3 linked regions of the Drosophila melanogaster genome follow. The protein of the gene in region 3 binds, or shares a complex with, the protein of the main gene of each other region. Each region holds a gene or a part of one and is shown on either strand. Other genes may lie near its edges. The genes, in order: Ada1-2, Ada1-1 and Spt20.

Region 1 (3,470 bases), on a different chromosome or scaffold from region 3:
GAGCCGGATGATGAGCACGAAGTTAATTCCGTGGATCGGGAGGACACCGCCAGTTTGTTCAGCACTACTACGACCACCACCAGAAGCAAATCGCCAAATACACGAAAATTGAACCGCCTGTGTCGGCGGATCAAGGCACCCAAAATGGTTCAGCCCTTGTACAAATATAGGTGTGATTTTTCCAGGCAGAACATAAGTCATAATGTTTATATCCCGGATGCATTGCAGCTCCCATGTCCGCGAGGACCACAACCATCAGATCTTCGGAGTGCAGTTCAATCCGTTCCTGGACAGAGGCCAGCCGCAGGTGTTCGCCACCGTTGGCAAGGATCGGGTTTCCATTTATGAGTGCGAGAGGAGCACCGGACAGGAGTCCTGCGAAGGCATTCGACTGCTGCAAGTCTACGCAGACCCAGATGTAAGTACTCATCATATGCTATTACTTACATACATCATCGTTACGCCCTCGTTAGACCGATGAAAGTTTCTACACATGCGCTTGGTCCTACGACTCTGTGACCGGCGATCCTGTGCTTGCCGCGGCTGGTTACCGCGGCGTCATTCGCATATTCAATCCGGTTAAGCACCAGTGCAGCAAAAACTACATTGGTCACGGGCACGCCATTAACGAGCTGAAGTTTCATCCGACTAGACCGCAGTTACTTCTGTCCGGCAGCAAGGATCACTCCCTGCGCCTTTGGAACATTCAGTCGGACGTGTGTGTGGCGGTTTTCGGCGGCGTAGAAGGACACCGCGACGAAGTGTTGTCTGTGGACTTTGATTTGCGCGGTGATCGCATCATGTCCAGTGGAATGGATCACTCACTGAAGCTCTGGCGACTGGATAAGCCCGATATAAAAGAGGCCATCGAGCTGAGCTCTGGTTTTAGTCCCAACAAGAATACGGGTCCGTTTCCCACGATCAAGGAGCACTTTCCGGACTTCTCGACAAGGGATATACATCGAAATTATGTGGATTGCGTTCAGTGGTTCGGCGACTTTGTCTTTTCGAAATCCTGCGAGAACTCAATTGTTTGCTGGAAGCCGGGCAAACTTTCAGAATCGTGGCATGAGATTAAGCCACAGGAGTCGGCCACCACGGTGCTGCATCACTTTGACTACAAGATGTGCGAGATCTGGTTCGTACGCTTCGCCTTCAACGCCTGGCAAAAGATTCTGGCCTTGGGCAATCAACTGGGCACAACATTTGTCTGGGAATTGGACTGCAATGATCCCAATTTAACAAAGTGTAGCCAGCTGGTTCATCCCAAAAGCAACTCCACCATCCGACAGACTTCCTTCTCCAAAGACGGTTCCATTTTAGTTTGCGTGTGCGACGACAGCACCGTGTGGCGATGGGATCGCGTCAATTAGGATGAGTGTTTCTAGGCTAAAAGAATTTTCCTTATCCTTCTAAATCCGATACCATATTTATGTAACCATAGTTATTTTCAGTGTAATGTTTACCTTCAATATTAAGTATGTTATTATGCGTAGCATTTATATACAATACTCATTGTATTGACAATTTATGTTAAATTATGTTAAATTTTTTAACATTAACCAAGATATTTATTCTATTCTATTACTTTTTTAATGATCAAATAGCTTCGCAAATATTATCATCTTATGTTGTGTGAATGGCGTGGGCTCTATCTTTAATGTTTATATTTTAACTAACTAACTTGTACACAATAAAAACTGTGAACACTAAAGATTAAAACCAATATTTTTTTAAAGGGTTCTTCAAAAATAACGGTTTTTATCTCAAATGTATCTGGTATTTTCAGCCGTTCTTTGAACGGTCACTCGAATCAGCTGCATTCATTTGTTTATATAGCAATTCGCAAACAGTTGGATTTTCCTGTTTAGTTGTTATTCCCATTACTAAAATGCTTACCGACAGAGTTCTGGCCACCAAGGAGGCGCTAGTGGTGGCTCTGGGCGACAACTGGGAGCGTTACCGGGCCAACATGAAGAATTGGTTTCGGAGCCGTTGGACTAAGGAGGAATTCGATGCGGAGTCGCGGAAAATCCTAACACCTGACAAACTGCACCTGCACAATCAGTTCCTGCTCGCCCTGCTCAACAAGATCGACGCCTTTGCTCCCCTGGAGAATCCTCCGGCCGTCCAGACCAGCAGCAGTAGTGGCAACCGAAGCAAACGGCGCAAAAGAAGTTCCCGCACCTTCGCCGAACGCCTTAATTTTGAGCTCAGCGACGTCCTGGACTTTGTAGCCGAGGACAACATGCAAATCATTCGTCCGCCAACCACGATCGGTATTCCGTCGGACCAGCAACAGCAACAGCTTCAGTCGCAGCGGTACTGCGCGCAGGAACTTTTCCTGCCCGACGCGGGATTCATTATGGGACGATTTCTGATCGGTGCCTGGGAAATCGGACTTGTCTCCGTGGACGACAATGTCGCCGAGTACGTTGCCATGGCCGTGCAAGTTCTGCTCAAGGATCTACTATCGGCAATCATCAAGAAACGAAAGCACTACAAGACCAGCGGCGAGGGAAACTTTTACTACGATGTAGGTGCTCCGTTGCGTGATCCTTCGCTGCGCAACACCGTCACCCGGCAGAAGGTCGACGACACGCCGCTGGAACTGGACAAGGAACTGAATACGGCCAACTTTATGCGGCGACAGAACGACGATGTGACCTTCCTCTCCGCCTGCGAAGAAGTGTAAGCTCCTGAATAATAATGAGATTTTCATGTGAAACACAAACTTAGGTTTTGTTTCTTTCAGCCAACCCACCGAACGCACAGTAATCACCCTCAAGGACTGCCAACTGGCCTTACGGGATCGCAACCTGATAGGCTCGCATGCCGTCTACTCTATAAACATGGAACGACTCAATATGATGATGCATTAGCTTATAAGTTCTAATTATTTTATTATATCAGCTTCTGTAAAAATATATACATTATACGCTAGTGTACCATTAAGTGTTTGGTTCAGCAAAAATTCCGTGGAGGCGGTTTGAATGGCAAGGCACCTGGTAGAAATTGATCCGCCTTGAATGCTTCGATTTCCTGCTCGTTGAGATCCTCCATGCGACTGTAAACTGAGGACTGGATTTCGTTGGTCGGTTGAGCTTGCTGCTGCTGCTGCTGCATCATTTGCTGTTGCTGTTGCATTTGAAATTGTTGTTGCTGCTGCTGCATTTGTTGCTGTTGCATCTGCTGCTGCTGATGCATTTGTTGCTGTTGCATCTGTTGCTGCTGCTGCATCTGTTGCTGCTGCTGCATCTGTTGTTGATTAGGGAATGCAGATGCTGCTGCTTGAGCAAATAATCCGGAGGCAGCTGCCTGCTGCTGCTGTTGTAGTTGCTGAGAAGCCTGAGTAAACATTCCGCCCATATTTTGGCTTGCGGCTTGGCCAAAGATTCCCGTCGACTGTGGTTGCTGCTGCTGCTGTTGGAAACCACCGAAAGGATTAGGATTCACTGGCTGAGCTTGCA
Region 2 (3,540 bases), on a different chromosome or scaffold from region 3:
GGCGACATCTGAAGCATGGTCTTCATCTTGTTGTTAGCCTCTAGGACCTCACGGTTAAACTGTTGGCTGAACTGTTCGAATTGGTTTTGTCGTTTGGCCTCGTAACACATGAACCGCACCTCCTCGAAGGATTGGTCCTGAATAAAGTTGGGGAAATTCGCTTTGTCCTTAAAGGGTCCGTAGGCGGACAAAGGCCACATCTTGCCATTGAGGCTGGATTCCATGTCGGCTTTGAGATATTGCCTAAAATAATTAAGTTATTAGTTCATCTGCATAGTTTTAATATCAATGTACTCACTTAACATCGAAATGCTCGTTGTTGCACTTTGCGCCATAGCGGCAGGAGCCTTGTTGAAAGAACCGGCAGACAACCATATTTAAATTTGATTTTAATTTTTGCCTATTTCCTATATTTATTATTTCAAAACTGCTTCAACTTTTGTACTTTTGTTTATAATTGTCTTACTTTGCGTATTGAGTATTCTTTGAGTATTTTATGGCTCACTGAGAAAAATATACCGTGCCTATGCGCGCAATTTCGTGAATTCGTAACTTAAGTTCGCTGAATGATTAAGATAATTTTGTAAGCAAACATATTTAAGATGAAAACTGGTTTTTGAAAATATAGTTCCTTGTAAATTATACATTAAGTGCGAATATATCTGAAAAATATTGGTTTCTTGCACAGATGCTATTCATTTTTCATATGTTCAAAGAAATTCAGAAACTTGCTTCTGCATAATCGAATCAGATAATTTTAAAGTGAATTCCGGAGTCCTTTGGTATATCTCGTGCCGCCGAATACGGTCCCACTGATTGTGAAATCCGTGATAACGAATTTTAACACCAGAATTTCTAGGATTCCATCAGAATGCAAAAAGTGCTGGGACGCATCCAGGCGCAGGTCCTCCGCTCCCGGGCGACGAATGCATTAGCCAATGTGGTTAGACACGAGGCCACCTCCTCCAGGACAGCGGCTAAACCAGCCGCCACATCCAAAGGTAAGCGGATCCTCCAAGATGCACAGTTACCGCTTACCAAAATCGTATTCGTTCGTAGAATTCCGGGAGAGACAGGTGCGATTCAACATAAAGAACGAACAGACCGAGGGTAGACCACTTTACCTGGATGCCCAGGCCACCACTCCAATGGACCCACGTGTATTGGACGCTATGCTCCCCTATCTGACCAATTTCTACGGAAATCTGGTTCGTACGCTTCGCCTTCAACGCCTGGCAAAAGATTCTGGCCTTGGGCAATCAACTGGGCACAACATTTGTCTGGGAATTGGACTGCAATGATCCCAATTTAACAAAGTGTAGCCAGCTGGTTCATCCCAAAAGCAACTCCACCATCCGACAGACTTCCTTCTCCAAAGACGGTTCCATTTTAGTTTGCGTGTGCGACGACAGCACCGTGTGGCGATGGGATCGCGTCAATTAGGATGAGTGTTTCTAGGCTAAAAGAATTTTCCTTATCCTTCTAAATCCGATACCATATTTATGTAACCATAGTTATTTTCAGTGTAATGTTTACCTTCAATATTAAGTATGTTCTTATGCGTAGCATTTATATACAATACTCATTGTATTGACAATTTATGTTAAATTATGTTAAATTTTTTAACATTAACCAAGATATTTATTCTATTCTATTACTTTTTTAATGATCAAATAGCTTCGCAAATATTATCATCTTATGTTGTGTGAATGGCGTGGGCTCTATCTTTAATGTTTATATTTTAACTAACTAACTTGTACACAATAAAAACTGTGAACACTAAAGATTAAAACCAATATTTTTTTAAAGGGTTCTTCAAAAATAACGGTTTTTATCTCAAATGTATCTGGTATTTTCAGCCGTTCTTTGAACGGTCACTCGAATCAGCTGCATTCATTTGTTTATATAGCAATTCGCAAACAGTTGGATTTTCCTGTTTAGTTGTTATTCCCAATACTAAAATGCTTACCGACAGAGTTCTGGCCACCAAGGAGGCGCTAGTGGTGGCTCTGGGCGACAACTGGGAGCGTTACCGGGCCAACATGAAGAATTGGTTTCGGAGCCGTTGGACTAAGGAGGAATTCGATGCGGAGTCGCGGAAAATCCTAACACCTGACAAACTGCACCTGCACAATCAGTTCCTGCTCGCCCTGCTCAACAAGATCGACGCCTTTGCTCCCCTGGAGAATCCTCCGGCCGTCCAGACCAGCAGCAGTAGTGGCAACCGAAGCAAACGGCGCAAAAGAAGTTGCCGCACCTTCGCCGAACGCCTTAATTTTGAGCTCAGCGACGTCCTGGACTTTGTAGCCGAGGACAACATGCAAATCATTCGTCCGCCAACCACGATCGGTATTCCGTCGGACCAGCAACAGCAACAGCTTCAGTCGCAGCGGTACTGCGCGCAGGAACTTTTCCTGCCCGACGCGGGATTCATTATGGGACGATTTCTGATCGGTGCCTGGGAAATCGGACTTGTCTCCGTGGACGACAATGTCGCCGAGTACGTTGCCATGGCCGTGCAAGTTCTGCTCAAGGATCTACTATCGGCAATCATCAAGAAACGAAAGCACTACAAGACCAGCGGCGAGGGAAACTTTTACTACGATGTAGGTGCTCCGTTGCGTGATCCTTCGCTGCGCAACACCGTCACCCGGCAGAAGGTCGACGACACGCCGCTGGAACTGGACAAGGAACTGAATACGGCCAACTTTATGCGGCGACAGAACGACGATGTGACCTTCCTCTCCGCCTGCGAAGAAGTGTAAGCTCCTGAATAATAATGAGATTTTCATGTGAAACACAAACTTAGGTTTTGTTTCTTTCAGCCAACCCACCGAACGCACAGTAATCACCCTCAAGGACTGCCAACTGGCCTTACGGGATCGCAACCTGATAGGCTCGCATGCCGTCTACTCCATAAACATGGAACGACTCAATATGATGATGCATTAGCTTATAAGTTCTAATTATTTTATTATATCAGCTTCTGTAAAAATATATACATTATACGCTAGTGTACCATTAAGTGTTTGGTTCAGCAAAGATTCCGTGGAGGCGGTTTGAATGGCAAGGCACCTGGTAGAAATTGATCCGCCTTGAATGCTTCGATTTCCTGCTCGTTGAGATCCTCCATGCGACTGTAAACTGAGGACTGGATTTCGTTGGTCGGTTGAGCTTGCTGCTGCTGCTGCTGCTGCATCATTTGCTGTTGCTGTTGCATTTGAAATTGTTGTTGCTGCTGCATTTGTTGCTATTGCATCTGCTGCTGCTGATGCATTTGTTGCTGTTGCATCTGTTGCTGCTGCTGCATCTGTTGCTGCTGCTGCATCTGTTGTTGATTAGGGAATGCAGATGCTGCTGCTTGAGCAAATAATCCGGAGGCAGCTGCCTGCTGCTGCTGTTGTAGTTGCTGAGAAGCCTGAGTAAACATTCCGCCCATATTTTGGCTTGCGGCTTGGCCAAAGATTCCCGTCGACTGCGGTTGCTGCTGCTGCTGTTGGAAACCACCGAAAGGATTAGGATTCACTGGCTGAGCTTGCA
Region 3 (3,755 bases):
CTCCTTGCAGAGATGCGTGCGACGTCCAAGGTGCTGACCACCACCAAATGGCGACGCGAGCGGCGTCAGCGTAGTGCCGGATACCAGCCGCACGAGGCAGGCAACAGCGAGAGGGAGCGGGAACGGGAGCGGGATCGAGAGGATCGCGACATGGACAGTCCCATTGACATGTCGGTGACGACGGGAGCTCTGAAGCAGAGAGCCTCACCGCCGCCACCCTATCGCGAACCCTTGCCTGGGACCAACTACGCGGCCAACAGTCGACCCAGCGTCATTACCCAGGCTCCACCCAAGCGAGAACCACCGGAGCAGGCCCACTCTACAGGTGAGAAGTCATATATGCACATTAGTGTCAACGATCATACTAACCTGATGCTTTGATTTGCCTTGCAGATATGGCGATGTGCGACATTGACGAGCACTTCCGACGCTCACTGGGCGAGAACTATGCTGCCCTGTTCGCCAAGAAGTCACCGACGCCTACGCCAACACCCACGCCCTCGCCAAGTGGTACACCTAAGCAGCAGGTTTCGCCACTGGCCTACGGACTGCCTTCATCAACCAGCACAGCGGCATCGCAGCACTACCAGCAGCAACGCTCGCCGCTGGCCAAGTCGGGATGGGTCATTCTGGAGCCCGAATCGCTGCAGCCGGAACTGCCGCCGCCGCAGGAGGAACCGCTTCCCCTGTCGCTGGCACTGCATCGCACCCAAACGCCGCCATCGCCGCCACCTTCGGCCACGGGATCGGCACCAGCGCTACCCACGGCCGTCAGCCAGGTGATGGAGGCAGCGGTGGCGGGCAGGCGGATCCTGGACACGCCACACCACACGCCGCCGAGATACAACACACCACCGCCTCCACCGCCGGCTTACGGAATAGCCGGAACCACCGTTGTGGCGCCGACTTTGACACCGACACCAACTCCGAATCCGACGCCGTCGCAGATTCCCACGCCCACGCCCAGCATGCCGGCCATCATTCGGGTGAAGGCTGAACCGGGACTGGCGGCCGTGGCTGCCTCCTCGACGCAGACGCCGCCCGCTTCGCCCACCTCGTCCACGAATATCTCGATATTCACCAAGACTGAAGCCTCGGTGGACGACCACTTTGCCAAGGCGCTGGGCGAAACTTGGAAGAAGCTGCAGGGCGGGCACAAGGAGTAGAGGAGGAGCAAGCGAGCAAATCACCCACCAACCCGCACACAACCCGATCCCGATCCCGATCCCAATTCCCAACAGAACTCAACACAACCCAACCCAAAAGCAACCCCTGATCCTCAACGATTCAACTCAAGAGCTGTTTTTATTATAAATATTTCAAACTACACAATTAACGTTTAAAGATCTCATGCTGATGTGAACGGAAATTCTTCAACTGCGAGTGTATTACAAGTTTCTGATATAATGATTTTATTGAATATTGATAACGGTTAGCGCGCGGATATAATTATATATATATATATATGAATATTTACATATATATGGATAAATGTGTATGACAAAGTGTATACGTACAAGTGACAAAATTTTGTATTCTTAACGCTTAGTTGGTAGAGACTAATCCTTAATAATATACCTATTAAACATAAGTAAACAATCCTACAAAGTCTGTCTATTCATTCACCGAAAGTGGGAAATAAACTGCAAAATTTCAGATTTTGAATTGCATATTTTGAATTTTCAAATGACTGTTGGGCGGCTAACAGAGCGTTAACAGCGCGCGCCTAACAGCACACAGTGCATGGGCAGCCAATGTGCACACACCACTAACGGCAGACGGAACGGCGACAATGCCATTCACAGCGAACGATAACGATTGTTGGCATTCGCACGGCACGAATCGTACAGTACATTTACATTGCAAAAAAAAGCATAAAACAAAGTTTTAAAACAATTAAAAGCGAGCAATCCTCGGCGTATCATTAAAGAACCAGCCCACTGTTCGCCCCATAACCGCAGCAGAGCGCGCGACCTTGCAAATTCACGGAGCAGCAGCGCCAGAAAGAGAGTTCGTCGGCAGAGGGGCGCAGAGAGAAAATGTCACGCAAAGCAGCAGCAGCAGTGGAAGTGGAAAAAGAGTGAAGAAACCGCAGTAATCGCCATCGGGATCCGATCTCAGTGTCCTCCAGTGCAGCGATTCGTCACACAGACGGACCGAGGAGCACCCCAAAACGATCCTGATGCGGCACAGCCGAGTGCTGAGTGTGGCGAAACTAACCGATGGACAGCAGCAGCAGCAGCAGCAGCCAGCGAAAGTAGGAGACAACAACGGAGCCCTGCGTCTGCGGTCCTAGAAATTCGTAATTCGACGTTCACTGGCAACACGGACACCTGCTAGCGCAATGCGAATGCCGCCGATCCTGGCCAGGATTGTTCGTAGACTGGTGCTTGGATGTCGTCGGTAATTGGGTGCGCCATCCTCCGTTGGATCTCCCCTAGCAATCCGCTGGCACCACCATGCAAAGCCTGGACTCCTCATGCCAAGAAGCCGACGTAAGAACTGTGGCATTTTTCATGCAGCCTGAATACGATTAATTCCCATTTTACACTTTATTTTTCGACAGTTTATTATAAATGACACGCTCAAAAAGTTAAAGGGTTCCAGCAACGCGGACCATGTCCAGGGCCTAGCGGTCCACGCCCACGGTTCGGGTGTCCACCAGACGCAGTTCGTCCAGTACGGCACGTCTGGATCCTCGCCGCAGCTGCAGCCGCAGCAGTCCTACCATCAGCTGCATCCCACGCTCCAGCAGCAGCAGTTCGCCTCCTCGAGCAGCAAATCGTACCTGGAGACCAGCCTATTGCAGGCTATACCACAGATTCCTGCCCAGCCGCCCATTTGTATCTTCGATGACGACGAGTCCCCCACCGAGGGCACTGGCGGCTCACTGGGCAGCCTGCTCACGGAGCCGACCTCGGCCACGCCCAGCGGCCTGCCCACTGCAATTGCTCCGTCGCCCTCCTCGTGCTCATCCTCCACCACAACGATGTCGAACTTCAACTCAATCACGTCGCCGTCGCCGGTGGTGCCCGATCTTCTGCTGTCGACACCGCCGGGCGTTAACTCCAGTCTAAGCAATAGCTCAACGGGAGCGGCCAGTGTGTCCAGCAAGAAGTCCGAGAAGCGGCCACCCTCCGCCAACTCAACAGCCAGTGGAGGCGGCCACCACCTGCACCATCATCACCTCCACCAGACGCACAATCACCATGTCCTGGCATCGCCCACGTCGTCGCCCAGCAAGCGCCAGAAGTCCAATAGCAGTAGCAAGGAGAGCAGCTCCTCTAGTCGCAGCTCAGCTATACCCGCCGCATCAGTCTCCACAGCCACCTCGTCGTCGCAATCAGCGCGCGCTGGCGCCGGCGCTGCCTCCTCCAATAGCAACAGCAAGCCACCTTCATCCGTCTGCCAGTCGGGCAACAGCAAGTTCTTTAATCTGCACGAGAAAATAAGGGACCTGTACCTGCAACTGCTGAGCAACGACCTAAACTACTTTGCCGAGACAGGGGTAAGTGTTGAGCCAATCAAAAGCGGAAACCTTATGTAAGGACTCTTATCACTTTCAGCTAAAGCAGCGCACTCGATCCTTTACACTGGAGCGGTTGGTGGATCGGGAGAAGCTCAACACGATTGTGGTCAACTTGTATCCCGGCAATAAGGGATACTCGCTGGCCCTGCATTATGACGAGCACATGGTGCTAAATCCGCAAACAAACGAATGGTCCCCCACGGACAAGGACGAGACCTCGAGCGAT

Evidence for each region.
Region 1: Spt20 (region 3) and Ada1-2 share a complex: the UniProt entries of both Drosophila melanogaster proteins name them as parts of the spt-Ada-Gcn5 acetyltransferase (SAGA) complex.
Region 2: Spt20 (region 3) and Ada1-1 share a complex: the UniProt entries of both Drosophila melanogaster proteins name them as parts of the spt-Ada-Gcn5 acetyltransferase (SAGA) complex.

The regions. Positions count from the first base shown.
Region 1 is NT_033779.5:11,991,102-11,994,571, forward strand, and holds Ada1-2 (transcriptional adaptor 1-2), read left to right. Parts: upstream 1-1,800; 5' UTR 1,801-1,891; coding exon 1,892-2,691; intron 2,692-2,755; coding exon 2,756-2,882; 3' UTR 2,883-2,953; downstream 2,954-3,470. Other genes in the region: escl, read left to right, coding at 1-170, 229-418, 474-1,373; CG18789 (uncharacterized protein), read right to left, coding at 2,965-3,470. UniProt on the Drosophila melanogaster protein: Component of the transcription regulatory complex SAGA, a multiprotein complex that activates transcription by remodeling chromatin and mediating histone acetylation and deubiquitination. The SAGA complex predominantly acetylates histone H3.
Region 2 is NT_033779.5:11,994,943-11,998,482, forward strand, and holds Ada1-1 (transcriptional adaptor 1-1), read left to right. Parts: upstream 1-1,866; 5' UTR 1,867-1,961; coding exon 1,962-2,761; intron 2,762-2,825; coding exon 2,826-2,952; 3' UTR 2,953-3,023; downstream 3,024-3,540. Other genes in the region: CG18789 (uncharacterized protein), read right to left, coding at 1-243, 299-375; Qtzl (quetzalcoatl), read left to right, coding at 872-1,001, 1,060-1,301. UniProt on the Drosophila melanogaster protein: Component of the transcription regulatory complex SAGA, a multiprotein complex that activates transcription by remodeling chromatin and mediating histone acetylation and deubiquitination. The SAGA complex predominantly acetylates histone H3.
Region 3 is NT_037436.4:13,500,890-13,504,644, forward strand, and holds the start of Spt20 (Spt20), read left to right. Parts: upstream 1-1,817; 5' UTR 1,818-2,459; coding exon 2,460-2,495; intron 2,496-2,566; coding exon 2,567-3,508; intron 3,509-3,566; coding exon 3,567-3,755. Other genes in the region: Tgi (Tondu-domain-containing growth inhibitor), read left to right, coding at 11-325, 394-1,166. UniProt on the Drosophila melanogaster protein: Component of the transcription regulatory complex SAGA, a multiprotein complex that activates transcription by remodeling chromatin and mediating histone acetylation and deubiquitination. The SAGA complex predominantly acetylates histone H3.